Regions from separate parts of the Mus musculus genome. Here all the other regions are reported to be linked to region 3. The links are microRNA targets in miRTarBase. Many come from high-throughput screens and were not tested one by one. Region 3 holds a microRNA gene; each other region holds the end of a gene's coding sequence.

The links. The annotated mature microRNA mmu-miR-1839-5p reads AAGGUAGAUAGAACAGGUCUUG and lies in region 3 at 3,958-3,979, opposite strand. An mRNA with a match to its seed (bases 2 to 7 or 8) in the 3' UTR can be bound and repressed. Matches are read on the target gene's strand: a 7mer-m8 pairs with bases 2 to 8, a 7mer-A1 pairs with bases 2 to 7 and ends in A, and an 8mer does both.
Region 1: miRTarBase lists Eif2s1 as a target of mmu-miR-1839-5p. Seed matches in the 3' UTR shown: 7mer-A1 at 5,013-5,019.
Region 2: the mRNA of Ecm2 is a reported target of mmu-miR-1839-5p. Seed matches in the 3' UTR shown: 8mer at 5,212-5,219, 7mer-A1 at 5,208-5,214, 7mer-A1 at 5,204-5,210, 7mer-A1 at 5,200-5,206, 7mer-A1 at 5,196-5,202, 7mer-A1 at 5,192-5,198 and 3 more.
Region 4: the mRNA of Prr23a3 is a reported target of mmu-miR-1839-5p. Seed matches in the 3' UTR shown: 7mer-m8 at 1,159-1,165 and 7mer-m8 at 1,476-1,482.

Annotation. Positions count from the first base shown.
Region 1 is chr12:78,883,569-78,890,730 of GRCm38, reverse strand. Eif2s1 (eukaryotic translation initiation factor 2, subunit 1 alpha) reads right to left here. Exons shown (of 8, transcript NM_026114.3): 8 at 3,721-5,940. The coding sequence ends at 5,815. It overlaps Plek2 (pleckstrin 2), which reads left to right. Exons shown (of 9, transcript NM_013738.3): 8 at 741-819; 9 at 1,424-2,034. The coding sequence ends at 1,551. Among named protein-coding and RNA genes, the nearest start is that of Plek2, 20 kb to the left of the region's middle.
Region 2 is chr13:49,530,684-49,537,683 of GRCm38, reverse strand. It overlaps Ecm2 (extracellular matrix protein 2, female organ and adipocyte specific), which reads right to left. Exons shown (of 10, transcript NM_001012324.3): 10 at 4,895-6,421. The coding sequence ends at 6,253. The region is part of intron 5 of Cenpp (centromere protein P); the gene reads left to right. Among named protein-coding and RNA genes, the nearest start is that of Aspn, 10 kb to the left of the region's middle.
Region 3 is chr7:81,526,736-81,533,897 of GRCm38, reverse strand. Mir1839 (microRNA 1839) reads right to left here and starts at 3,982; the gene lies at 3,910-3,982. 2900076A07Rik (RIKEN cDNA 2900076A07 gene) reads right to left here. Exons shown (of 4, transcript NR_160675.1): 2 at 4,958-5,111; 3 at 4,371-4,551; 4 at 2,400-2,687.
Region 4 is chr9:98,864,850-98,872,011 of GRCm38, forward strand. It overlaps Prr23a3 (proline rich 23A, member 3), which reads left to right. Exons shown (of 1, transcript NM_028033.1): 1 at 1-1,731. The coding sequence starts at 146. The coding sequence ends at 910. It also overlaps the pseudogene Gm5920. Among named protein-coding and RNA genes, the nearest start is that of Prr23a3, 3.7 kb to the left of the region's middle.

The DNA.
Region 1 (7,162 bases), not on the chromosome of region 3:
GATATCAAATGTATGAGCACAGGATTTGCATTTAACTCTTAGTTAACCTCAACTACTTTGTGCCCTTGATGAGTCCAGGGCCTTTTGCTATTCATCTACTCTCATGTTTTCTTTGCTTTGTGCTTCCTACTGCTGGGCTAAATCCATGTCAGTACCCAGGATCTGTTTCTCAAGGCCTATTCAGTCTCTGGTTGAGACTGCCTGCTGTAGACTCCCACCATGCTGGATCCCTTCTTTGTGTTGTTTCCCTTCTCTGGTATCTTAGTCAACACCTCTGCATTGTTAGTAACTGCTTTAGCTTTTGTCTGCTGAAGCCACCATTTAGTATTGATTATTAAAAGAAGGGATCAAGGGCTGAGGCTCCTGGTATGTCAAGTTGCTCTTTAACCATCCAGATACCATAAACCCAATCTTGTTTCATACCAAGCACATAACTAAAGACTTACATAACAAACGTCCAATGTGCAGGACAAAGGTTAAGGAAGCCAGTGCATGCTTCTGGTAGAATGTTGGATCAGTCTACAGAATGTTGGTAACTTAATGGCACTGCTGCTACTGGTCATGAAGAGGCCCAAACTGCCTCACTGGTTTAAGTTACTTGGGCAAGATGCCCAAGTTCAGCCTCCTTTATTATAGATAATTTGGAGTGGCTCTACAAGGCTTACAGATCAGTTATTGGAGGATGGGTCTTTGTGTGTGTGTGTGTTCATGAAATTACTGACTAGTCTCTTCCTCCACAGGAAGAGAACAGGCCAGTAGGTGGGTTTTCTCTTCGTGGTTCCCTTGTGTCTGCTCTGGAGGATAATGGTGTTCCTACTGGTAAGCTACAACTTCTGCTCTGGCTTAAAGATCCCTGGGGCCACCATCTGCATGTTATTGATGGCCTTGGAAGGAAACCCTGAGCAGAACTTTTCTCAGTGAGTCAATGATGTCATTTTTGACACCCATTTAAAAAATTAAGTAAAAGGTTATATGGGATGTTCTTGCTGTTTCAAGAATCAACAGAACAATCCTTTCTTTTGATATTCTTTACTCTCAGTTTCTGTGCTGATGGCCTGTAAACGTCCATCTAAGTTACAGCTAAGGGACACGGTGTTTTCATGTTAAAGAATGCCGTCATTTTCTGTTTGTACTGATTTTACAATCCCCAGCTATGGTAGGAAAGTAGCAACATTTTGACTTGTAGGTATAGAAACTGAAGTTCAAAACCAGTCCAAAGTAAACATCAAATTATGTGCTTCTTTAAAACATACATTTAGGAGATTCTTTGATGTGAAACTGTAGGTCTGTGAGTAGCACAGGAGCAAGCAAGCAAGCTGCAAACTTTTAGAATAACCACTGGCAGACCTTATGGCTATAGGGAGTGGAAATACAAGCTGGAAGTTGACATGGATATTCAATACTTTTCCTCTCCCCTGTGTAGGAGTTAAAGGGAATGTCCAAGGAAATCTCTTCAAAGTGATTACGAAGGATGACACACACTATTATATCCAGGCCAGCAGCAAGGCTGAGCGAGCAGAATGGATTGAAGCTATCAAGAAGCTAACATGATCTAAAGGAGCGGGACCAGGGTTCTCATCATTGGATACAGATAAGACTTCCTGGAGAACTGGAGTACAAGATACTGGGCTGGGGATGTGGCTCAGTGGTGGAGGACTTGCCTGGCCATCCTGAGTTCAATTCTTGGTACTGTTAAAAAAACAAAACAACAACAAAAAAACCTTATCATTATAAATGTTGCATGGCTTTGGAGTAAGACTGCCCAAAGTGGCTCCTCAGATGACAGCGGGGATGCGATGATTTCCTTCTGCCTTCCTATGACCAACTTTAAAAGATGGACCAGCTGTTAGGTGGGCAGCATCTTGACTTTGCTCTTCAGGACAGAAATCTGTCTTTGGGGACAATAGTAGTACCTCTTTCTCTGTTGGAACACTAACTCCGGTTTTCTGTATTAAATACTCTAGTCTCAAGACTCTCTCTCAACTGATTTCAACAACTCAGTATCTCTGGGATTAATAAAGAATGACATCTGTCCCTGACTGTTATGGTTCTTGTAGTTAGTTCTCTGGTTCCCACAGGTTTCTAACCTGTGAGGCCCTATGTATTACGGAAGCTGGTTGTGGAGGAATCTCTGGTGATCTGTCACCAGGATGATGTTTCTCACTTTAAAGTGGGGATGCTGACAAACAGATGTCTGTTCAGAGGATACTGTTTGTCTTGTACTGTAAGACAGTAGGTATCACAAGTTGCAGATGTCATACTCTTGAAATCTGTCGCAGATATTTTTTAAAAGGCAGAAATACAGCTTTTTTTTTTTTTTTTATATAAAATGGACATTTAGAAAGATGTGGAGCCTCAGCTCTCCAAACGACAAGGATACAAATGACAAAAGTTAACTCAAGGTATAAAACTTTGGTCTAAAAATGAACATTAGCTCATCCCCAGTTGGGGGTTAAAGTGACAAGTCTGTATCATACAGTGTTTTTATAAATATTTTTTATTAAATGTATACAGTGATCTGGCAGTGATGGCCAGGATTCTTGCCAAGGACAATGGCTTGGACTTTAATAGATAAAATACATGACTTACATTTAAGGGGAGTGGATATTTCTAAAGTGTCTAAGTAAAAACTTCTCTTAAAATAGATTTCCTCTTAACGTCTGGAATATCTGACCCCGTGTTTGGAATCCCAAGAACTTGTCTGTTTCTCCCTTTACTCCTTACTTTGTAAGAGACTGCCTTTTCAAGCACCGTTTTTTTCATTTGGCATCTTTCCAGGTTTAATGTACCTAGAGTTACTTTTAGAATGTTGACAGGTGCTTATCGGAATTAAACTACATTTGGCTTGATAGCTTCCTGCTTCCCATAGCTATGGGTGAGAGGATTCTCAAGGGTTCTAAAACAGATGAGCACTGGCTTGAGACAAAGCAGTGGAGCTGGCAAGGTCTAGCTAGACCCAGCTTTTTTTCATGCCTACTCATTTTAATTGTTCTCGTTGTAAAAAAAAAAAAAAAAAAATGCCCAGGACACAAATGGGCTGGTGTACAATAGCTAAGTAGTGGCCCAAAGATCAGCACATCTCTAGAGCTCCAGTTAAGAACCTGAACATCTTGAAATACCCCCCCCCACACACAACCCCAATCAACCAAACAAAATAAACCCCCCAAAACTTGGAACATATTCATGAAAATTGGCTATGTTTGGTTATAAAACTAATTAAAAAAAGCAGTTTCAATGTTTCGTTTTAGTTAGTTTCAAATCATTGTTAGGAGTCATGAAGTCTATTTATTTTGTTGTATAAATTAAGGACCATATGACTGTAATCGATGGCAGAAGGAAAACAGAACTATTAGCATTTTTAATGAGAAGGCTTTGGTGGGAGAACCAAGATATGTAAGTTCTGTGTGTTGTTTACACTGTTCAGTCTCACAGCTGGGTGAGTCTGCCTGGCCTAATGTGTCTTAGTTTGTTCTTTTCATCACAGGATCACTGCAGTATTGATCTCCCAGGCTAGTCAGCATTTTACACAACTGTAGAACCTAGCAACAAAGCTCAGATAGATTAAAATCTATCACGGAGCCATAAGCTATTTCTAATTCTTTGAGACAGTGTTTCTCTGTGTAGCCTGGCTGATTTGGAACTTGCTTTGTAGACCCAGTCTTGAGACTGCTCTGATTTAAGGTGTGCACTACCATGGCTGGCTGGCTTAAATTTTTTTTTGGAGACAGGGTTTCTCTGTGTAACAGCGCTGGAACTTGCTTTGAAAACTAGGCTAGCCTCCCAAGTACTGGAATTAAAGATATATGCCACCAACCTGACTAAATTGTTCTCTTAAATATAAAACTTTTCAGTAAACAATCCCTAGGAAAAGGGCGCTTGCTATACTTGATAATACATTTTTTCTTCTGTGGTAATGGGGATTGATCCCAGGGCCTTGACTTGCTAGCTATGCACCAGGCCAACTTAGCTATATTTCTAAATCCTTAAAATATGTGTATTCTGTCTCTGAATTATCTGAGATTACAGTTACTATTGCAGCTTTGGTAACACCTTCATGTTCTTTTATAAACTTGAAAAAAAAATTGAGACAGTCTCACTATGCAGTCTTAGGTGACCTGTAACTTGGTATATATAGACCAGCTATGCCTTGAACTCAGAGATCCAACTGCCACTGTCTATGATGGGACTAAAGGCATGCACTACCATACCTGGCCCTAAACTTGCTTCTTGATGCATGACCAGTGGTTGTTCTAGACCATCAAAAACCAGATATTTATATTATGATTCATAATAGTAGCAAAATTAAAGTTATGAAGTGGTAACAAAAATAACTTTATGGTTGGGGGGTCACCTCAATGTGAAGACCTGTATCGACAGGTCCCAGCATTAGGAAGGTTGAGAACCACTGCTGTAGTCAGCCAATCTGGAGTACATTCAGAGTCCCTAAATACTAGCAACATGGTATGCAGACTAGCAAGCATGGCTCCTCGGAAATGGGTCACACAAGGTTAGACCAGTAGATTAAACAAAAGAACTTTCATAAATGGCATAAAACATCTCTCAACATTCTAATTTCCAATCCTTTTGATACAGAGTCTTGCAGTGGTTGTCCAGGCTGATCAGCAACTCTTGGCTCAAGGAATTTTCCCTCCTCAACTTTCCAAGTACTGGAGCCATCAGCATGTGCTTCTGTACCCAACTCTAGAACTCTTCCCATGATGTCTAGTCCTGGACTGACTTAGTTTCAAGTTTGCTTACAGATAATAAATAGTATACATATCCTAAGATAAGCATGCCAAACTAAATGAAGACTTTCTACATGTGATATTGTAGCTGTAACTTTGTGTTATTTGAAAAAATTATTTTGCACATTAACCTTTAAAGTAGCTAGTTTGAGAAGGTAAAAATGGGATTAAAAATTTTGTTAAATCACATCATGTGTGGTTTATATATATATAAAACCATGTATGTATATATACACACACACACACACATACACACAACTCAAGAATTAGGTAGCACCTACCAGATAGAGGAAACTGTCCCCTTCAGATGGGTGATGCTGCTCAAAATAACTCCATCAAAGCAGCAGCACATTAAAATACCCCTTGAATTATGAATTCAAGGTAAGTAGCTTAGAATAAACCAAAGGGACTGAGTGTGATGACTTCTCACACAAGTTATCACTGCTTTCAAGTAAGTTAACAGGCACATAAATCTTTAATTGATTTCAAGGTTTTTCTCTACCAGGGGTCAAATTCCTAATTTCTTCTCTAACATTCCTTTGGAGAGTCTGTTCCTGCATAAGTCATTTAGTTACTTGCCCATTGAGTTCTACCATATGAAGATAATTAGGATCTGAGCATTCAGATTGGCTTTAACTTGTGACAAGAAGGAAGAAGCCTACAATTAAATATCCCAGAAATTTATTTGATGTTTGCTTGAATACATTTTATATAGAAAGATTGGGATTGTTTGTGTTTGGAGTCCCTGGTAAATCTCTGAACCATAAGGGTGCCATTCCAGAGACATGAGAAATGGAAACTGTAGGCCCAATATTAGGACTGCTGTTTAAGATTTGTCTCTGGTCAAATCAAGCCACTCCCTTGAAAAATGCTTGAGGTGTTAGAGCCACTATGTGGAAACAGCTGACATGAAGGAGGGCATTTAGATTCTGGCTTGTTGAATACTTAAATACTTGGAAATAAAAATATTCAGCTTTGAAGTTTTCAATACTGGAAAACTCTCAAGTCTAGGGTTGACAGCCAGGAAGGGCTGCTTCGTACTCCTTAAATTGGACTGTTTGCCAAAACGTTAATCTTCAGCTTTGGCTTCCATTTCTTCTGCATCATCATCTCCATCCACTTCTGCATTTTCTCTCTCCAGCCGTTCCAGCTGCCTTGCAAGTTCAGTCTCATCTGTATCTGTGACCACTTTGGGCTGTGGAAGAGGCACAATTTCAAAATAAAGTAAACAGCAGAGTAGATTTGACTTCAATAGTATTACTGACCAATGTTTAAAATTTAACAACAAAAAATTCATTTCTAACAAAATTCAGTCATACCTGTGCTGACTCACCACTGAATAAGTTCTATCAGCTGAAAGTTAAGAAAATTCAAGACCATCCAAGGAAGCAGTATACACTACAGTGGAATAATACTTCCTGCCATTTTAATAAGCTCAACTGAAAACGAGTTCACTGATCACAGCAGAAGACCACCAAATGGCCTGTTGTTTTTTTGTTTTTTTTTAAAATGAATATTTTGGGCTCCAGATAAATTATTATCCTTCCTCAGAGATCGAAACATCTATACACACAGATATACAGCATATGGAAATTAGGTCTTGTTCATATTGAGAGAAAGACAGATTATTTTATGTTTGAAACAGGATTCCCTATGTAAATAACAAGCCAGTACTTCTGCCTCTGCCTCCCAATGCTGAAATTATAGGTTTGTGTCATACTATGCCCAGCAAATTTTTCTCCATGAGGGGAAAACCCCAGCACTAGCACAAATGTCTATCCCATATGGCATTCCAGTGCTAACAGTGTTTTATTACAGACAAAACCCTTTTTAGAAATATTCTGTACAAACAATTACTCAAATTTTTTATTCCCAACTATATGTGACTGGGCAGGTAGCTTTGATATGCTGATAAGGCAGCCTCTGAACTTCAGGCAATCATTCTGGTCTCAGTTTCCCAAGTGCAGAGACAATCGGCACAAACCATCACATCCAACTCAATCACATCCAAACGACAATACTTGTGTGTGTGGGAATGCATTGCCACGGTGTGCTTTTCAAATTTTAGGAGTCATTTTCTCTAACATAAAGGTCCTGGACACCAGATTCTAAGTCACCATGTTTGGCAGCCAGGGCCTTTACTACTGAGCCATTTTTTGCTGGCACCCTATCTGACATTTTCAAAAGCACTAAGAAGTTGAAAAGGTGAAGTAATTTCTGCATAAGCCCTACCACCAGCCATAGGTAAAGCTGGACATAGTGGAATGTACCTGTGACCTAGAGGTAGGAGTGATGACAGGGGCATCTTCAGCTCTAGGTTCAGGGAGTCTCAAGAAAACAAGATAAAGGATATCCAACACTAATCTGACCTTCATATGTGCACCCAGGGGTCAGTGTACCTGGGCATACATACTAAA
Region 2 (7,000 bases), not on the chromosome of region 3:
TTCTTAAAATTTTTTTTAGATTTATTTTGTATGTGTGTGCATGAGTGTTTTGCCTGCATGTATGTGTGTAAGTGCACCACATACAGTGCCCACAGAAATCAGAAGAGAGCATTGTATTTCCCAGAACTAAAGTTCTAGATGGTTGTGAGCTGAGAACTAAGTTGGGGTCCTTTGCAAGAGCAATAATTGGTCTTCACCTCTGAGCTGTTTGTTTGTTTGTTTCAAATCTAGGATGAGAAGTACTTTAGACTCTGAATTTAATGACTATACTTAATATGCTCTTTTAGCCTGAAGTCCAGAGCAGAGATGTTCTACACCATAGTTCACAGTCCTTAGTAGTGAACACAAACATGCTATGCCACACTGAAAAGATGGTTGGTCACACTTGAGTTTTGTTGTTGATTCCCCACCTGCTCTTCAGGAGAGCCATGGTTTGGCATGGCATAGCTGCTGGCATGGCTAGGTTCCCTATTCAAGCCTTCCTGGCCAGCCAAGAAGCCTTGGGAGTTTACTCTCTGGCCCAGTACAAAGCACTGTGCTGAGTACTGCCCTAGTGTCCTTGGCCTGTTCTTTCCTTCACTGTTTATCTAATGAAATGCTACTTTAGATAGCAATATCTACCCTTCAAAAGGCCTGGCAACTAGCAATTCATTTAATTCCCAGTGTCCCTGTTTGCTGAAGTCTCTGGATAAAGACATTGATAACGCACTTTGACAACTCAGCCTTAGACTCAGCACTTCCTTGTTTTTTAATTAATTTAATTAATTTATTTTTTACGTTTCTTTTTTATTGGATATTTTATTTATTTACATTTCAAATGTTATCCCCTTCCCTGATTTCCCCTCCCCCCAGAAACTCCCTATCCCATTCCCCCCACCCCCTTCTTCTATAAGGGTGTGCTCCCACCCACCCACTCTCACCTCCCTTCCTTTAAATCCCCCTACACTGGGGCATCAAGCCTTTACAAGACCAAGGCCCTCTTTTTCCATTGATGCCCAACAAGGCCATCCTCTGCTACATATGCAGCTGGAGCCCTGGGTCCCTCCATGTATACTCTTTGTTTGGTGGTTTAGACCCTGGGAGCTCTGGTTGGTTGATATTGTTGTTCTTCCTATGGGGTTGCAAACCCCTTTAGCTCCTTCAGGCCTTACTCTTAACTCCTCCATTGGGGACCCCATGATCAGTTCAATGGTTGTCTGTGAGCATCTGCCTCTGTATATGTCAGGCTCTGGCAGAGCCTCTCAGGAGACAGCTATTTCAGGCTCCTGTTAGCGTGTACTTCTTGGCATCCACAATAGTATCTGCATTTGGTGACTGTATATGGGATGGATCCCCAGGTAGGGCAGTCTCTGATGGCCTTTCTCTTCAGTCTCTGCACCACACTTTGTCTCCGTATTGCTCCCGTGAGTATTTTGTTACCCCTTCTAAGAAGGATCGAAGCACCCACACTTTGGTCTTCTTTCTTCTTGAGCTTCATGTGGTCTGTGAATTATATCTTGGGTATTCCAAGCTTTTGGGCCTATATCCACTTATCAGTGAGTGCATATCATGTGTGTTCTTTTGTAGTACTCAAATTTCAGTTCCCAGTTCCCAAGTTCATTTTTGTTTTTTGGGTTTTTTTTTAATATTTTTTTTACTTGAACAATTTTTATTAGGTATTTTCTTCATTTACAATTCAAATGCTATCCCGAAAGTCCCCTATACCCTCCCCCTGCCCTGCTCCCCAACCCACCCACTCCCGCCTTCTGGCCCTGGCATTCCCCTGTATTGGGGCATATTATCTTTGCAAGACCAAGGGTCTCTCCTCCCAATTATGGCAATTAGGCCATCTTCTGTTACATATGCAGCTAGAGACACGAGCTCAGGGGGTACTGGTTAGTTCATATTGCTGTTCCTCCTATAGGGTTACAGACCCCTTCAGCTCCTTGGGTACTTTCTCTAGCTCCTCCATTGGGGGCCCTGTGTTCCATCCAAATCCACTTCTGTATTTGCCAGGCACTGGCATAGCCTCACAAGAGACAGCTATATCAGGGTCATGCCAGCAAAATCTTGCTGGCATATGCAATAGTGTCTACCTTAGATGGTTGATTATGGTATGGATCCCCGGATGGGGCAGTCTCTGCATGGTCCTTCCTTCCATCTCAGCTCCAAACTTTGTCTCTGTAACTCCTTCCATGGGTATTTTGTTCCCCATTCTAAGGAGGGACGAAGTATCCACACCTTGGTCTTCATTTTTCTTGAGTTTCATGTGTTTTGCAAATTTTATCTTGGGTATTCAAAGTTTGTTTTTTAAGTACCGAAGTTACAGTGTTTAACAGAATCTAATGCTTAGGGGCAGCTTATGATTTTCTGGCATTAGATTAGAGATGACATTTCTTGTAATGAGTTCTTTTAATATTTTTAAAGTTTTTAGAATCAATCAGTGATCTGAGCTGATATGCAACCATAAACAAAGAATTAGTTCAGTCATGTCAGTTTATAAATTCTTCTCTGAGGAAAATTTTACTCTTCCCCTAAGTAAGAGGAAAAGATAGAGCTGATACCATATAGGGTTTTATTTACACCGCCCTTTGAGATTTCCCTTAAACTGCAGAATTTGAGTATTTCATTAAATCATCAGCTTAGAAACATAGTAATTCATGCTATGTTTAAATGATGGCTTTGGAAGGACCGTGATGCAGAGCAACCATAGTGAATACTAAGTATTTCCAGTTGTCAAAACATGATTTAATTGTTTAAAGAACACAATCTGGGCTAGAACACTACCTTAGCAGTTACGTTGTGTGCTGTTGAGAGGGCACAGTTAAGTTCTCAGCACCCACATGGAGCAGCTCACAACAACCTATAACCCAGTTCTAGAAGAATTTGATGCTCTGGCCTCTGTGGGCACCTACACACATGTGCACATTCCCACACATCTACACAAAATTAAAAATACACGGTTAGGAAAGAGTAGTAAGAAAATTTATTTCTGATTAAATTTATGACTCTGTGACCTTTTTTCTATTTAATATCTCATATTTCTTTTGAAAATGCTTACTTTTTCTTCAGATTCCTTTCTGTTTTGTTTTTGTTGTTTGGTTGGGTTTGGGGGAGTTTTTTTGGAGAGGGTTAGTATTTGTATTAACTTTGGATAACCAATGAATTGATCCATTTTGCACTGGGAAGGAACCAGGAAGACAAAATTCTTTGTTTAGTCAATGCCTGTTTTTATTGCCTGATATGTACAGCACGCAAGGGTTCAAGATGAATTCTTAATTTTCTCCTGAATTTTAGTTTTTTGAAAAGCACAATATACCTCTCCACCTAGTTCTCATGCAGCACTCCCATACATAAAGACATCATACCTCACTAGAAATACCAGGTAGTCAATTAGACATAGTTAATAAACCCAGATCTGACCTGAGTTGTTATGTTAACATAAGCATGAAGCTGAAGGGAGCTTCCCAAAGAGTCAGAGGTTAGGTACCGTTCTTCCTGTGCTTGGAAGCTAGCTTTGGAAAGACAGAGGCTTACGTCATAGAGACAATTGTGAACTTGGCTTCTTCACCTGTGCCTTGAGATGAGGGTAGGCTAACTGAAAGCATGTGTCCTCACCCATACATTCATCCACCTACCCTATGACTTCCTGACTTTACTCTCCTCCCATCTCTTGCTTGTACTACAAGCGGTTCAGCCTATTCTCTTGCAAATGGCCACTGTTTACTTCCTTATCAGTGACCTAGATCCCCCATGAGCCTTGTGTGATCTGATCCTCTGATCTATTCAAACCATAATATTTTAGGTCTTTCTCTGGTTTCTGATATATTTATTTCTTTACAGCACCAAGCTATATATGTTTCCCACTAAATCAGATCTTAGTGTTTTTTAAATAGTCATGTACAATAATCCAAATCTCAAAATTAAAAATACAGATAGCATTCTTTGTACATATGTGGAATGTCAAGATATGACATTAATGTTTTCTTGACCATTCTTATTCTAAGACTTCCTTAGTTCACATATGTGCTAGTGATTACAGCAGATTTACGAGACCAGACTGAACATCTGTTTGTTATCAAGAGGAGGGTTTGCTGTAAGGACATTTATCACTATTTCTATGTAATTAAAGCATCCCATTCAGAACATGATGAAATTTCAAGACTGAACAGGTTCCATGCTGGAAATGTTCACAAAAGTATAAAACCAGTTGAAATAAATGAATCTTCCAAATTCAGGGCAAAGTTCTAACTGTCATTCTGATTTTTAGCTTTATAGGGGATTCTGCACCTTACCACAGTTGGGTTATCTGTATCTGCTGCTGCATATGCCATCTTTTCTGTGCAGGCTGCTGACTGTGGCCCATATTCCAGAGCACTCTCAGGCCCTGACCAGGGAAGCCTGGGCTGGTATGTTCTTTTCATCACCCTGATTAGCTGATTGACAGCTCTTGCCTGGTCCTTGATTTTCTGCTTACATTCCTACAGGAAAGGAGACAACTTCTCAGTTATGTTTGATATTTGCTCTCTGAAGTGGCATCATAATGCAGCTGAAGAAAGTCACCGTAAGGGTGACAGGTGTTGCATACCTGTAATCCTGACCTTGGGAAGCAGAAATTCAGAAGGACCATTGTGAGTTCCAAGGCAGCCTGAGCTACAGAGTGAGACCCCATTTGAAAAGAGAGTGTGTGGATACAAAGTAAATTATTTAATAGCTTCCACTGTTGTATTAAATAATTCCATTGGCTCATCTCACTGAGCCCGAGTTCCCTTTGACCTGAGCACAAGCAGTCTTTGCCTGTAATTCCTGATTTTAAACACAATGGGACCAGCTGTTTCATTCTCCTGTTCCCTTGACTTCCTTGCCTCATGATGGACTGTACTCCTAATCTTTGCAACAAAATAAACCCTTTCTTCTTTGAGTTAGCTTTTATTGAGGTATTTTTATCACAGTAACAGGAAAAGAAACTAAGGTAGATCCCAAAGCTAGAGCTTAAGTCATGACACTAGTATTTCTTCAGAACAATAATTTAAGAGTTAATAAAAGAAATCAACAGAGTTTCTATATATATTATATAAAATTTTGTATAAATACAGAGATCAAAGATTGCACATGCCTTTAATCCTTGCACCTGGTTAAGTGCCAGGCCAGCCAGAGCTATACAGTAAGAGTCTCTCTTAATAGCTAGATCATAGACAGACAGGTAGGTAGGTAGGTAGGTAGGTAGGTAGGTAGGTAGATAGATAGATAGATAGATAGATAGATAGATCGATCGATCGATCGATCGATCAGGTTTACATTAAAAGAAATCATTACAAGTCAGTGTGTAATGAGTGCTACTTTGTTCATTAAACTGATAAAAAGTATATTTTAGTAACTGGCAAAAGAGATGGTTGCTAACTATATAACTAGTGTAGGAATGAGTTGTATTTACATTTATGTCAGCTTATAATTAACAGTAATTTGTATTTTTAGAAGAGTGCTTACATTTTGTAGTCTTTTTTTGAGATAGGGTCTTTACATAGTTCAGGCTGTCCTGGATCTCACTATATAGACCCGGCTGGCCTCATACTCACTGAGATCCTTTGGCCTCTGTCTCACAGCGCTGGGGTTAAAGGCATGTGCCACCATGCTCAGTTTACTTTTTCTAATTTTTTTATCTTGCTGCAGAATGAAAGCAGTCTTGAAATGGCTTTATTTTAACTTTGAAAACTAATTCTAGACTTATAGTGTAGAATTTTTGTATGCCCTTCTGCTAGCTTTCCTTACCATTACCAGTGTGTATATGTAACCACTGTAAAATTATTTAAACCAAGAAATTAGCATTAGAATGGTGTTTTGGAGACTGGAGACATGGATCAAGCAGTTAAGAACATGTACTGCTCTTACCACATACCCAAGTTCATTTTACAGCACACTTATCAACTGGCTCAGAACCACTTGTAACTCCAGCTCCAGGGCAACCAACACCTTCTTCTGGTTACTGAGAGCACAGAACTCATGTGCACAAACACATACAGAAACACACACACACAATAAAAGAGACGTAATTTTGTTAATGCTTCAGTAAAATTTATAAATGGCAGAAGGTGCCGGGCGGTGGTGGCGCACGCCTTTAATCCTAGCACTTGGGAGGCAAAAACAGGTGGATTTCTGAGTTCGAGGCCAGTCTGGTCTACAAAGTGAGTTCCAGGACAGCCAGAGCTACACAGAGAAACCCTGTCTCAGAAAACAAACAAACAAAAAACAATAATGGCAGAAGGAAGCTTGAAATCACTTGATGTGTTGTGGTTTAAGAACAATACTTGAATACAGTCTTATGCATGAAAATGCATAGGATGATATCTCTCTAGTTCTAATATAATTGTTTTCAAGATGAAGATGCTCGAGAGCTGAGTCCTCATCCTCTTCAGCATTGCAGATTTGCTCAGGATGAATATTCCTAAGGAAAGATACACGTATAAATTATAAGTAGTCCAAGGATCAAAGTTTAGAATTTAGAAGCTAAGCTTTTAAAACGTTTTAGCTCTTAAAATGTAGTTAGGGATGACATGGTAACTCACATTTGTAATTGCGGTACTCAGGAACTTAATAAAGAATTGCAGTGAGCTTACATTCACTACTCAACTGAGTTCCAGGACAGCCTGGTCTAAAGTAAGGTCAGGTCTCAAAAGGTGTGGGATGGGGGCAACAGTAGAGACAGTAGAGGCAAGTGTAAGAAATGAAGCTACAGGAGCGCTCTAATGGAGCATCGTTGCAGCCTGCAAGGTGAAGGGGTTCTTCCTAAAGGTTGATCTGAAACCGGAACCTCTCTTACTGAGTAGGTGTAGTCAAGACTTCTCATCGCCCATGCTGCCTAGGCTGGTGTAATAATTAAACACATAGAAACATGCCCCCCACACTGAAGGAAGCTGAGAGCCAATAAATTCCTTCAGAATTTGCCTTAGTAAAACTCTTATCTTTAGACAACTTTTGTACTCTGCAGGTCACTTTCTGTATTACATGGGAATTTCAGTATAGT
Region 3 (7,162 bases):
TAAGGCTACGAGTGACTACTCTTATTCATATCTATAGTGAAAAGGAGTAAGGGGAACAGGAACAGTACAAAATGTAAAGTTTGAGTAGAAAAGGAAGACCAGGAAATGATTTGTTAGAGCCAAGTACTGGGCTCAAGGGGACAAGGTTAAAGAAAAGCCAGGTGCTAACTGGAATAAAGGAATTGTGACCTCAGGGCAACACCACACCCCCCTAAGCTTCCAACCTGTGAAAGGAATCAAAGGAAAGCTTGAGCAGTAAAGGAAGCCATCAACAGGAAGCTAGTGCAGACTGTAACTGAGAGAGGGGGTCAAGTTCCAGCCCCAGCAAGCAGAACTTGGCAGCTTCAGCCATGTGGTTCTTTCTGGCTTTAGAGTTAAGAATATAAGACAAGAGGTTGTGGAATCTTCCTTCACAGTTAAAGACAGCCACTTAGTCCAGGTGTGTCAGGAGTGTCCCTGTGTGGAGGCCCAAAAAGGATATGAAATAATTGTAAAGGTGATACCTGATTGGAAACCTCATGGTGTTGGAGATACCAGACACATGGGACACCTGCCAAGGACAGCTGCTAAGAGGGTATGGAACACATGAGAGAGAGAGAGAGAGAGAGAGAGAGAGAGAGAGAGAGAGAGAGAGAGAGAGAGAGAGAGAGAGAGAGAGAAAGAGAGAGAGAGAGCGCACTGCAGTCAACAAAGCTGAAAGGAGTTGGACAGTAGACATGGAGATGCAGGACTGGAGTTAGCCTTGTTAGATTTAGGTCTTGCTTTGGTCCAGTATTTCCTCACTATTCTCCTTTTCCTTCCTGATGGAATGGTAACTAGCATCTATTCTGTGCCACTGTATGTTGGAAGGATGTGATCTCTTTTTTTATTTTGATCTTATGGGTGATACAGTTAAGAGATTACCATGTATCGCAGAAGAAACTTTGGACTTGAAAACAGTGTTAGTGTTGTGACAGCAATAGAAGAGTGACTAAGACAACCATCTATCTAGCCCAGTGTTTCCTAACAAAAGCTGGCAGCAGCACGGCAAAATGCACACTGTTGAAACACGCTGTCTTCTGCTTCATGGTGGTTCTAACTCCACTCTAACTCTGAAATTACGTCCAAGATGCCTAAAGGCAGAGACTGTGTGCCTTGTTTATAACTTGACTTTGGGGGCTAACATGCCGTCAGCTGCATGCCAATACATGCTGCCTAAAGAAGCACCTTCTTCACGCTCCACTGCTCTTGGCTTCATGTTGCTCTTGGTGGGAAAGATGGCAGGGAGGAGAAAAATCTTAAGGGAGGCAGTGTGAAGAACAGAAGCTACCTGTGGCTCACTGGAGAGTTACTGCCATGCCCACACACACAATCTACTTGTGATTGGGGTGAATGGAGTCCCGAGGAAGGGGCTCAGATAGATGGAGATAAGAGAAAGAGCATTAGCTAGGATTCATCAAGGAACCATCAAGAAGTGAAAAAGCAGTGGATTTGAAGCCAAGGACTGGGTCCAACTGCTATTTTGTATCTACTTGCCTAAAACCTACAGACCAGTGCTCCCCATCAAACAAAGGAAAGACTGTATTTGTCTCATAAGGATGTGATGCTTCATCTAAACCTAAGTGCCAAGTAATGAGTGACATACTGTATATTTATGATGTTTCAAGGCAATCATCAGCTCACCGAAGTCAAAGCTGGGCCCTAGGGAGAGGAACGCACTGTAGCCAGCAGCTCTTGGGTGCCCTGCCTCACTGTCTTCAGCTAAGGACCATGGTGCCTGTCTCCACCAGCTCCATTGCTGGCTCCCCTGTTCACATTTCCAATCCCCAACTCAAGTCACTGTCAAAGCTTAGCACTCCAGCTGCAGAGTAATAACTTCACTTGAGAAAAACCAGGACACTGTTGAGTACCAAGTCCCCTGATGCCGCCAACGCAGGTGTGTCCTACTCACTGCCCAGGGAGACACTCTTCTCTTTAGAATTTTGTTTTCTAGCCCACCCTAATTCTGATGCAGTAACAACTCTCGTCTCCTTCTGGACTCTACTAGTGCAAGCAGCAGCTCAGATTCCTGATTTATCACTTGCCCACAGAGCTTGTCTGTCTGTCTGTGTCTCTCTGTCTCTCTTTCTCACACACACACACACACACACACACACACACACACACACACACACACACACAACTTCTTCTTACCCTGACATAAGGCACTGCAGATGTAAACACAAGCTGGCTGAAGCTGTTAATGAAATATGCATGTGTATTTAGTGAAAGAAGTTCTCTACTACTGAAATAGAAACCACCAAATGGGAAACGTGGATCACAGGCATGGGCAGTTTGAGTTGTCTACTGGGATTCCTGCACTGCTTTGCACATAACACAAATATGGGGACATGACTAAAACATAATACCCAAAAAATTTTGATAGTTTTTTTTTTATTTAACAAGATATCTTTGACATTTAAAATTTACTGGAGTAAGGGATAACCAACTTCAAGCATCACAGTTACTAACCATAAAGAACTTTGTTTAAGCATGTTATCTTTAGGAAGAAAAATAAATCTTAAAAAAAAAAAATGAGGGGGGAAACCCTGCTGGGTCTGTGATATATTCCAAGTCCTTATAATCCCATGTAGAAGCTGATGAAACTCAATTTCAAACAGGGGCAAGGTTTACCTCATGGCCATGTGCAGCTGCAACCTCTGATAAATCTGTTAAAACACAAAACAGATAAACATTTAAAAACATTTTTTTATATGTGAGTATCTGTATGTTTGTTTGAGATAGGGTCTCACTATGTAGCCCTGGGGGGCCTATAACTCGGCCAGGCTAGCCTTGAACTCCACGCTCAACATAGAAAAGTATCTTTAACACTGAGACCACTGTCACACGACCCTGATACTAAGCAGATAAACCAAACTCCATCAACATCCGCTCTTCTCCCGCTTTACCTGCCCCACCGCGTTAACTCTTGACTGAGTGAGCGCACGGGTGTTGGCTCCACACCCTAGCAAAGGGGAGAGAGTCTGTAAAGCCTTCACAGGACGTGGGTGGAAACTGCAAGCATTTAAAAGCCACACTACCCAGAACATAACAAGTAGCAGAGAGAAGGAACAAGTAGTTAGGAACATGGGCTATAAAACAGCATTGGCTTCTGGTAAACTAAATAGCTTTCATTCACAGAATTACTTTTTTTGTTTTGGACTTTGTTGGTGGTGGTGGCTATTTGGTTTGGGTTTTTTGAGACAGTGTCTCACCAGGTAGCCCAAGATGACCTTACACTTGTGGCAAGCCTCCTGCTTCAGCTTCTCAAATGCTGAGATTACATGCATGAGCCACTATAAATGGCAAAAAATTGGTATGTTTAATGGCTGGCTCCTGGGGCTGGTAAGGGTACTTGTTACCAAACCTGAGGACCTGAGTTCAATCCCCAAATCCGACACCATGGAAGGAGAGTTGTCTTTGAACTTCATGTGTGCCACGGCACATAAGCCCCCTCTTCACTCTTCATCACACACACACACACACATACACACACACACACATATCAGCTCCCTGCCTTTTCAAATGATGGTAATCACTTGTGCACATGAAATAAAATATTTCTGAAGCGTGTACTTGCCCTTTAGTACAAACAGAACCAGTTTATGGGCAGCTGGGCGTCTCAGCGTCTCACCCTCACATCTGGTACAACTACTGCCCTACGTGACCCACCTACAATTCATTGTGATGCAGAATTGTGTAAGTGACAATACACTTTTTGGATTCCTCAAACCTGCATTATAGGAAACAAGTTCTCAACTTTCTAACCCGCCTGTCTGACCTCCAAGCACCTTTCTATCACTAGTAGAGACTGTGTCCACTCTGGCTTTCCCAGCCTTCCTCATCTAGGAGTTCACTGCACCCACTTCTTGTAGGAAGACTGTGGGACGTAGGCAATGGCTGTTGGTAGATAAGTAGGTCTTGAATTTATTTTGCAAACAAGACCTGTTCTATCTACCTTTTCATGTAGGAGGCTAAAGGCAGAGTCAGCTTGACTTCAAGGACTCTATTGTCTTAGTCTCCAGAAGAATATGACTAAATCCACCTATTGTTTTAACTGAGCATGCCTGGAATCCCAGAACTTAGAAGGTAGAGTCAGGAAGATCAAGGGTTCAAGGTAATCCTATGCTCAATAGCAAGTCTAAAGCCAGCCTGTGCTGCATGAGACCCTGTCTGAAGAAACTAAACTAGAAGTTAGGCATGCTGGCTCAACCCTGTAATCTTGGCACTTAGCAGGCTGAAGCAGGAGGACTGCCAAGTCTAAGTCAGGACAACAAAATGAGACCCCAGTCTTAAACCCTTGTGTTACAGACAAGATCTTTAAGAGCCATGAACGCTGAAGACATGCTTACCTTACTGTCAATGGTTAACAGAGCTAAACGCAAGGCAACAGTTTGCCTGTCGGTATCTGCCATCAGCAAGGAGAGTACCCATGACATGGCACCATTGCCACCAAAAGAACCGCTGCTGCCTGGGTCCTGTCAGTTCACTGTGTGCCACCACATCACTGTTGGTTTTCTGCTGACACCAATCCTGGAATAAATGAGGTTAGACTCACCGTTTGACTTTCCTTCCTTTTCTCAAGCTCTAACAGAATATGGTTTCTCGTGTTCTCACTTACTCAAATTTGGCAGAACTAACCCATCATTTTTTTATAAATTATTTTTCCATAAGCCGCCAGCATTTTGCCTCTGCCATTTCCTTGCACATGGCAAACATTAATCTAAGGGGAGAGAAGCAGCAAGAGCGAAACAGGAAGTGAAAACAAGGCCGGCACACTGGGAAAAGTGTAAGACTCCGTACTGTCTTATTACCATGTACACTGTATAAGCCATCAACTAGGAGATCCCTAACACCTACAGCGCAGCTCCTCCTGTCCTCCTGATGGCTCTAAATCACCTCTGAGACGCACTGGCTGACTCCCACCTCTCACACTCACCGTTTACAGAACACTCAAGTGTTGATATTGCGACCACTGGCTTGTGTCTTCTCCACTTGAATTACACACATCTAAGGCATGGGTGTGGCTGCATATTCTCTGCATGACCCAAGGCAACAACTGCCCTGGGCTTTCAGGTAATACATATATATACCTGAAGAGAGAAATGAGACATCAACTTATCCCACAAATCAAAGGAAAGCTTTTCCATTAGAAATCAAAGCAGCCGTCCAGTGTATGCTCTTGGGGCTGTGGGATGAGGCTAAGTTGTCTTCTGTCCTAATACCTAGGGGTCTGACACAGTCCCTCAGTAATTGTAGTTACTTCTGATCTGTGCAGAGAATGAGTGTGGAAGGACCAAGGCTGGTGCTGGATGTCATTAGTACAAGAGAGCTCTGACACTCACATTTAATACTTGCTGTAGCATTGACTATTCCTAAGATAACCCGAAGGTCTATCATATGTTATTTTACAAGCTCTGAATCATAAATTTGGTTCATAATTCTTGGTCCAGATAAATGTATAAATATTCCTCTAACCCACTAAGTTTAACCACCTACCTGACATTTTAAGCATGTCTTAGTTTGGTTTTTATTGCTGTGAAAGACACTATGACCAAGGCAACTTTTACTTGGACAACATTTACTTGGGGCTGGCTTACAGTTTCAGAGGTTTAGTTCATTATGATCAAGGCCGGAAGCATGGCAGTGTGCAGACAGACGCCAAAAGTTCTACATCTTGATCCACAGGCAGCAGAAGGAGACTGTATGTCACACTGGGTGTAACTTGAGCATAGGAGACATCATAGCCTGTCCTCACAGTGACACAATTCATCCAACAAGGCCATACCAACTCTAACTAGGCCACACCTCCAAAAAGTGCCACTCCCTATAGGTAAGCATTCAAACACTTATACCTATTCAAACTATCTCAAGGTACAACGTAAGACATATTGGCTATTTTTAGTTTACTGTAGAGGGCACAGAGCCCTGGTGCTCACATATAAGCACCAGGGAAACCAGGAATGTTAAACACGCGGAGCTGTCTCTTCAGAGGAAAAGATGTCTAACCTATTCTCTGCCCAGAAGGCTGAGAATGGATGTTGTTAAAAGCCCGGTGACCTCTGTGCTATTTGTAGGGCCAGGCCACACCTGTCTCCATCCCTTAAAAACAGAACTGGAGATGGTTAATAGTGTAGTGACCTTTGCACTATCTGTATGACTGAGACCACATCCAGAGCCTGGAGATCTTCTCCAAGACCCTGAAGATAATGCATGTAGTCTATACAGACTCCATGATGGATTCTATACCTACCATGAAGAAGTGACACATACTTTGAAAAGAGTTTCAAGGTAACCATGCCCTACCGGCACATGGAGTTATACAAGGAAACATTTTCCAAACTGTACTATATAAAATATACCTTAAATAAACCACCGGGTCAGACTCACAGAGTTTGACATGACACTGCTGGCCATGGTGTTTGCAGAAAAACACCACAACTCTCTCACCCCTCCCCTCTTATTTATAAACTAAGTTGATTTTGTTTGTTTGTTTGTTTTGTAGAGGAAAACAAACAAACACCCTGTAAAGGTAATAACAAAGTTGTAAAACCATAGCTATTTTCTGGATTACTTCTTAAATGTGAAGTACCTTTAAAAATCATTTTATAGACTCTCTCACTAAGTGACATAAAACAACAATTAAAGTAACTCAGTCCTTAGTAACAGTTCTTCAAGATAAATGACCAAATTTAAATATTCCCTGAGGGCAGAACCCAAGCAGAAGCACTCTTCATTACTGAAATCTCATCCTTTTCTAACAAGGCAATAGATAGTCAATATTTTCATAGTGGAATTCCTTAACTGACAAAATTTCTACATAAGAGATCATGGGCAGGGCATGGTGGTGCACACCTTTAATCCCAGCACTTGAGAGGCAGAGGCAGGTAGATTTCTGAGTTTGAGGCCAGCCTGGTCTACAGAGTGAGTTCCAGGACAGCCAGGGCTACACAGAGAAACCCTGTCTCGAAAAACAAAACAAACAAACAAAAAAACAAGATAAAGATCATGGGTTCTCCCCTCCTCCCCAACTTTGATCAAACTCAGGGCTTTGTCCACACCAGGTACCGGCCATACCAGAGCTACATCCAATATGAGAAAATTTAAACAACCTATGAGCATGACAACTCTAATCAGTAATAGG
Region 4 (7,162 bases), not on the chromosome of region 3:
AGTGACCCACCTTGCGTACGCAATATCCACTAGGCCAAGCGCAGAGCTGCAGAGCACGAGACTGTAGCCGCTCCGCCCGCGCCGTCGCACCTGCCCGCTCTGCACCCCGCACCCGCGCCTCTCCAGCCCCACAGAGCCGTCCATCATGCTGCGCACCAGGCCCCGCAGCCCCAGCGCCGACCCCGCGCCCTGCTGGTCACCGCAGACACCAGCACCCAGCCCTGCCAAGCGCCGCCGCCTCCACCAGGAGCCCGCGTGCCCAGAGCCCCTGGCTCAGCCCGAGTTGGAAGCGCCCGCCGAGCCCACCACCTCCGTGGTGTTCCTGGCCGCCGGCTCTGCCCTGCAGTTGCCCCTGGACGGCGTCGACCTGCTGCTGGAGCCAGAGCCCACCTCGGTACTGCAAGTGTCGCTCCAAGGACACACCATCCTCCTGGTCCCCGAGGGGCTCCAAGACTCCACCCATTTTGGACAGCCTGGATTCGTGGCCATCAGCCCGCAGGGAGCCGCTGCCCAGGACGGGCCCCAGGATCATCTAGTCGGTCTCCAGGAGGAAACTTTCTGTGAGTACTTCTACCAAGAGGATGTCTGTGATGAGGATGCAGACTTGGAATTTCTGGAGCACTGGGCTAGCCCTCCAGATGATCAGGCCAATGGGAACTTTTCCTCCATCCCAGGGGTGCCCAGTCCTTTGTCTCAGGACCAAGTCCCAGGGCCTTCCACTGGAGCAGAGCAATATTCTCCTAGGTTCATCTGGGAACTGGACATCAACATGCTGGGACCCTTCCCTGGCTCACCACTGCAGCCTCTGCCTCCATCTCCTTCCCGGAATCCCCAAGAGCAGCTTCCGCCATGCCCTCCATGCTCTCCCCGGGCTCCTCGCAGGGCCCGGAAGCGACTGGTCTATGAATGAACTGCCCTGCACAAATCTTTGAGGGGCTTCTCTACCCCTAGTTGCAAGGCACTTAGGCCCCATGATGTTAGAATTAAAGCCTTGCTGACCCAAAGGACTCTTCCCGAGGCCCTAAAAGTTCCTAGAAATTCAAGTGGTAAAATCCCCAACACCTGTTTCTTCTCTAACAAAGAAATTAGTAGGTGTCTTAAGTTCTTGGTGGCCTTTAGTGTTTTCCCGTGAATTTTTGAGGATTTGGACACGACTTATCTACCTCTCTGTTGTTCCGGGCTACTCTCCTAGAAAACTACCCAACACCATCATGTGCTATAATGGTTACCTCACTTGCATGTACAGGGTTCAAAGCCATCTCCAAAGCTCCTTGGAATAGTCTCCCATTTCAGTTCCTTCATTGTAAGTGTGATTCATGGTGAAGTTTGCCGGCTGTTTTCAGCATGCGCTGGGATATGCATTTGTTTTCTTTGTTTTTTAATCTTTGTTTAGTTTGTGATTAGTCAGGATCTCATTAGAAATCTGTGGCTTTCTTAGAACTATGTAATAGAGGCTGGTCTTGAACTCGCAGAGATCTACCTGCCTCTGCCTCCCAAGTGCTGGGATCGAAGTCTTGCGCCACTCTGCCAGGCTTGGGTTTCTTTTTATAGTACATTCGCTTCAAGATTTCACCTAAACTGGTGGAAAATGTTTACATTACTATTATTCCACGTTATTGTTTTGTTTTAAATTCTGAACCAATTTTTGCTCTTATAAACCTAATTTGTAATGTTTTGTATGCAATGGTCATATTTATCTTGTTTTATAAAAATAAAATAAATGTCCCTGGTAAAGGTGAGTCAAAAATCATAGCTGTTCAGCTTTTAGCTGTTCAGTTTTGTCAACCTATTTTACCAAATTCCCTCTTTGTTCTCAGGCTAACCTCAATTTTTATCTTGCTACTACTAATCTGCTTTTAATTTCTTTTTGCATTAATACAGATTTAACCTAGGATCTCACACATACTGGGCAAGCGCTCAAATACATGTACATCCCTAGCTCTCTCCTTACTTACTCTTTATTTTGAGACAGGGTCTCACTAAGCTGCTTGGGTTAGCTTTAAACTCATTCTGTAGCCCAGACCCACCTTGAAAATGAAGTCCTCCACAGGAGCCACCCTAGAAGCTAAGGTTATTGGCCAGAGTGTAGCTCTTACATACAACTTTTTTTTATTGTTTAATTTATCATTGATGTGTATTTGACTGAGTGTGTGTGATTTGTGTGTGAGCCCAGGACCATGCGTGTCATCGAGTGTCTGCCACAACACACCTGTGAAAAATCACAGGACAACTTGGGAGTCAGTTCTCTCCCTCTACCGTGGACTCAGGAGATCAGTTATCAGGCTTCCAATTGTCAGGCTTGTAGAGTGAGTACTTCTGCCTGATGATCCCATCCCACCAGCCCCAGAGATAGGCTTTAACAGTTATATGTATGTGTGTGTGTGTGTGTGTGTGTGTGTGTGTGTGTGTGTGTGTATATATATATATGTATATGTATATGTATATTTATTTATTTAACAATTATCTCCATTATGTCTGTCCTGCCTTGGTTCTATAGTCCAAAAACTCTTAGGATTTTATGCTTGAAAATGTTTCATTCCGTACTCATTTTATTTAAACGTGAAATAGGAATGGCCAAGTGGAAATAAATAGACAATAAACCACTGTATAATTCTTAAATGTACAGTGGACTCCAACACAATGCTACATTCCAGATACTGGTGGAAGAATTTGGAAAAAAAAAAAAATACTGGCTGGGCATCCAGAAACTTAAATGAAAGCAGACTGAATGGAGGGTCATCAGTATTCACACCAAAAATAAATAAATAAAAACTAGTTTTTAATGCCAGTCTTCTTAATTCCACCTGTGGCCAGGGCCTTTCCCTGCAGGCTTCCCTTTCAGCTTCTAGCACTTTCTTCTCCCTTTTCATTTGTTTCTGTCTGAAACTTCATCCATCTTGTTAGCATGTCCCTTGGACTGACTTGAGGTTTCTAGCCACCATTGTGGAGGGTGAGGCGTCTCTTCCCCATCTCTCCCCTCAGCCCTTGATCCTAAATGTAGTTTCTCTAGCATAATATTTGACTACTTTAAATTTATTAATCCAGTGTTTCACCATCTTTTTATCTAAATGGTTGTGTAACCAACCAATCAAAATATCACTATTTTATATGTGGGGGTATTGTACATCTTAGTTTTAAGGGTTTGAAGTGTTTTATTCGTGGCCTGCTTTTGTTTTGTGACAAGTTCTGTGTAGTCCAGGCTGGTCCGGAAGTCCCCACCCTCCTGCTTCAGCCTCCCAAGTCCCAGGATTACAGGTGTGTAAAATCTGTAAAAGCCACATCTGCCTTCATTTTACTTCAAATATTTGTTGGGTTTTCGTGTCACATAGTTTGATTATAATGTGTCTATGACGATATTATTTCTATTTGGCTTGGCTGAATGTAGTTGACTGTGGATGTTGAGAATTATCACTTACCTAAAATCTCACACACTGCCTTAGTCAGGGTTTCTATTCCTGCACAAACATCATGACCAAGAAGCAAGTTGGAGAGGAAAGGGTTTATTCGGCTTACACTTCCATGCTGCTGTTCATCACCAAAGGAAGTCAGGACTGGAACTCAAGCAGGGCAGGGAGCAGGAGCTGATGCAGAGGCCATGGAGGGATGTTCCTTACTAGCTTGCCTCACCTGGCTTACTCAGCCTGCTCTCTTATAGAACCCAAGACTACCAGCCCAGAGATGGCACCACCCACAAGGGGCCTTTCCCCCTTGATCACTAATTGAGAAAATGCCTTACAGTTGGATCTCATGGAAGCATTTCCTCAACTGAAGCTCCTTTCTCTGTGATAACTCCAGCTGTGTCAAGTTGACACAAAACTAGCCAGTACAATTGACCCCTTGTCAACTTGACACACAAACACATCACTAGTAAGCCTCAACCCTTACATTCTTGTTCATCCCCAAGATCTAAATAACTTTAAAAGTCCCACAGTCTTTACATATTCTTAAATTTTCAATCTCTTTAAAATATCCATCTCTTTTAAAATCCAAACTCGTTTTACAATTAAAAGTCTCTTAACTGTGGGCTTCACTAAAACAGTTTCTTCCTTCAAGAGGGAAAATATCAGGGCACAGTCACAATCAAAGCAAAAATCAATATCCAACCGTCCAGTGTCTGGGATCCAACTCACGATCTTCTGGGCTCCTCCAAGGGCTTGGGTCACTTCTCTAGCCATGCCCCTTGTAGCACACGCGTAGTCCTCTAGGCTCCAGATGCCTGTACTCCACTGCTGCTGCTGCTCTTGGTGGTCATCTCATGGTACTGGCATCTCCAAAACACTGCATGACCCCTTCAGTCCTGGGCCTTCAACTGCAACTGAGGCTGCACTTTCACCAATGGCCTTCCATGGCCTCTCACAGTGCTGAGCCTCAGCTGCTCTGCGTGACCCCTTCATGCCTTCAAAACCAGTACCACCTGGGTGACCCTTACACATTACCAAGTCCCGCTGCAGCAGGAGTACAACCTTGGCCATCTCTGGAACACAGCCTCTTTGTGCTTTCAGAAAACACTTCCCAAAAGATGTCACCTCAATGATGCTGGTCTCTTCTTAATCACCGCTAATTTCTTAGCTCCAGCTAGCCAGCATCAATAGTCCCAGTAATGCAAAGTTTTTGCTTTATTAGTTCTGGTATCTTGTTAATCACAGCTGATTCTTCAGCCCCAGCTAACCAGAACTACAGAATCTTCACAATCAAAACAGCAATGGCCCTGAAAAGAGTCTTTAATTTTTCCCTCTGAAATTTCACAAACCAGACCTTCATCTTCTGCAGTGTTCTCAACATTATCTTCCAAGCTCCTACACAACATCCGACAGAGCTCTTAACAACGGATGGATCTTCAAGCCCAAAGTTCCAAAGTCCTTCCTCAGTCCTCCCCAAAACATGGTCAGGTTGTCACAGGAATACCCCACTCCGCTGGTACCAATTTGCCTTAGTCAGGGTTTCTATTCCTGCACAAACATCATGACCAAGAAGCAAGTTGGGGAGGAAAGGGTTTATTCGGCTTACACTTCCATGCTGCTGTTCATCACCAAAGGAAGTCAGGACTGGAACTCAAGCAGGGCAGGGAGCAGGAGCTGATGCAGAGGCCATGGAGGGATGTTCCTTACTAGCTTGCCTCCCCTGGCTTACTCAGCCTGCTCTCTTATAGAACCCAAGACTACCAGCCCAGAGATGGCACCACCCACAAGGGGCCTTTCCCCCTTGATCACTAATTGAGAAAATGCCTTACAGTTGTATCTCATGGAGGCACTTCCTCAACTGAAGCTCCTGTCTCTGTGATAACTCCAGCTGTGTCAAGTTGACACAAAACTAGCCAGTACACACACACACACACACAAAACCCTCAGTCTCTGAGCATCTCATCTGTCCTCATGTTGAAAATCCAACCAGATATATGACTGCAGAGCTCAGTTTACCTCTTGCGACTCATTGTATCAGTTACCTTTTCATTACTGTGATAAAATACCTTGACCCAAAGCAATATAAGGGAGAAAGAATTTATTTTAACTTTAACATCCACAACCAGGAAGCAGAGAGACGATAGAAGGCTATAAAAGTCCTCAAAGCCACCCCCCAGGTGACTTCCCTCCAGAGAGGTTCCACTTCCTAAAGGTTCCAGAACCTCCTTAAATAGTGCCACCCACTGGGAAGCAAGTGTGCAAATTGATGAACATTTAAGAGACATTTCTCAGCCACATGACCATACTCATACTATCTTAACACTATAAGATGGAGTTATGACATAACTAATTCCTTCCAGAATTCTATTCATAGTGTTTCTGTGAGAAAACTCATTTCAAGATTATCTTCATTTTCCAGGATGTTTGCTTCTTTGTTCTAAAACTACCCCATAGCTGGGTGGTGGTGGCACATGCTGTTCATCTCAACACTCAGAGGAGGCAGAGGCAGGTGGATTTCTGTGAGTTCAAGGCCAGCCGGGTCTACAGAACGAATTCCAGGACAGCCAGGGCTACACAGAGAAACCATGTATTGAAAAAAAAATTTTTTTAAAGAAAACAAAAGTACTTTCCCTTAAAGTCACAGGCCTGGGCTTGTTTGTGGGTGTTAATTTAATACATCTTACCTTTTTATTTATTCTTCATTGTGTTGGGTTACCTCGTTGCTTTGAAGGGTTTTTGTTTGTTTGTGTTTTGTTTGGGGTTTTTTTTTTTGTCTGGTTGGTTTGGTTGATCTTTTGGTTTTGGAGGATTTTTTTTGTTTTTTGGGTTTCTTTTTTTTTATAATACAAATATATTTTATTTGAAATAAACAAAAATGCTTACACAGCTTTCATTTGCAAACAAACTCCTGCTTGACTGTATTACTGAGCAAAAAAAAAAAAGAAAGCTGAAGCCAACAGCCTTCTGTTTTACCTTGTACTTGGGGACAGGTAGGAAGACACTACTTGGTTTTTAAAAAACTGACCTTCCCCTAAGGCCTGGTCATAGAAGTGTAAACAATGTAAATGAATCCACCATTACCAGTTGTCATAGGTCACATCACATTACCTGTGTGTTCTGAGATCACACACACACACACACACCTGCCAATATACCTGGGAAGGTAGCTATATCACAGTTACACATGAGTTCTAGGCAGGTAGGATGATGGAAAAGATGAACTGGAATGACTTGGTCATCCTGTTTAGAAGGAAGCACTAGCACTCTGACATACTGACAGATGCTGCCTGGGAACCGTCCTTTTCACTTTGGTTCATTCCAGCTTTGTGAGGGACACAGCTATTTATTCGTCTGCTTACAGAACAATCCTGCCAGAGAGCATAAAGCAAAAATACCAATGATTCCTTCAATGTCTGTGTTTTCAAGTTTTATATTCTACTACATTGATAGTATGTCAGCAGTTCTCAACTATGAAAGAGCAATACTAATGGGCAAAACTCTTCTAAAAATGCCAACATCTGTTGAGGCGTTTCTGCAGGTATTGCCACTGGCAGGAAAAGTGGACCCAGGATAGATAAGAATGAAAACTTGGTATAGCCAGACTTGGTCAGATTGGATCAAGACTTCTGGACTCTGATCCTATGTTTTAATTTTTCCACACATTTAAACATAGTAGAACTCTGGGGGAAAGTCTCTGTGTGACAACTCTTATAGCAAAGCTTCAGGGCCGGCTACATCTAAAGTCCCTTGCAAGGTAGTAA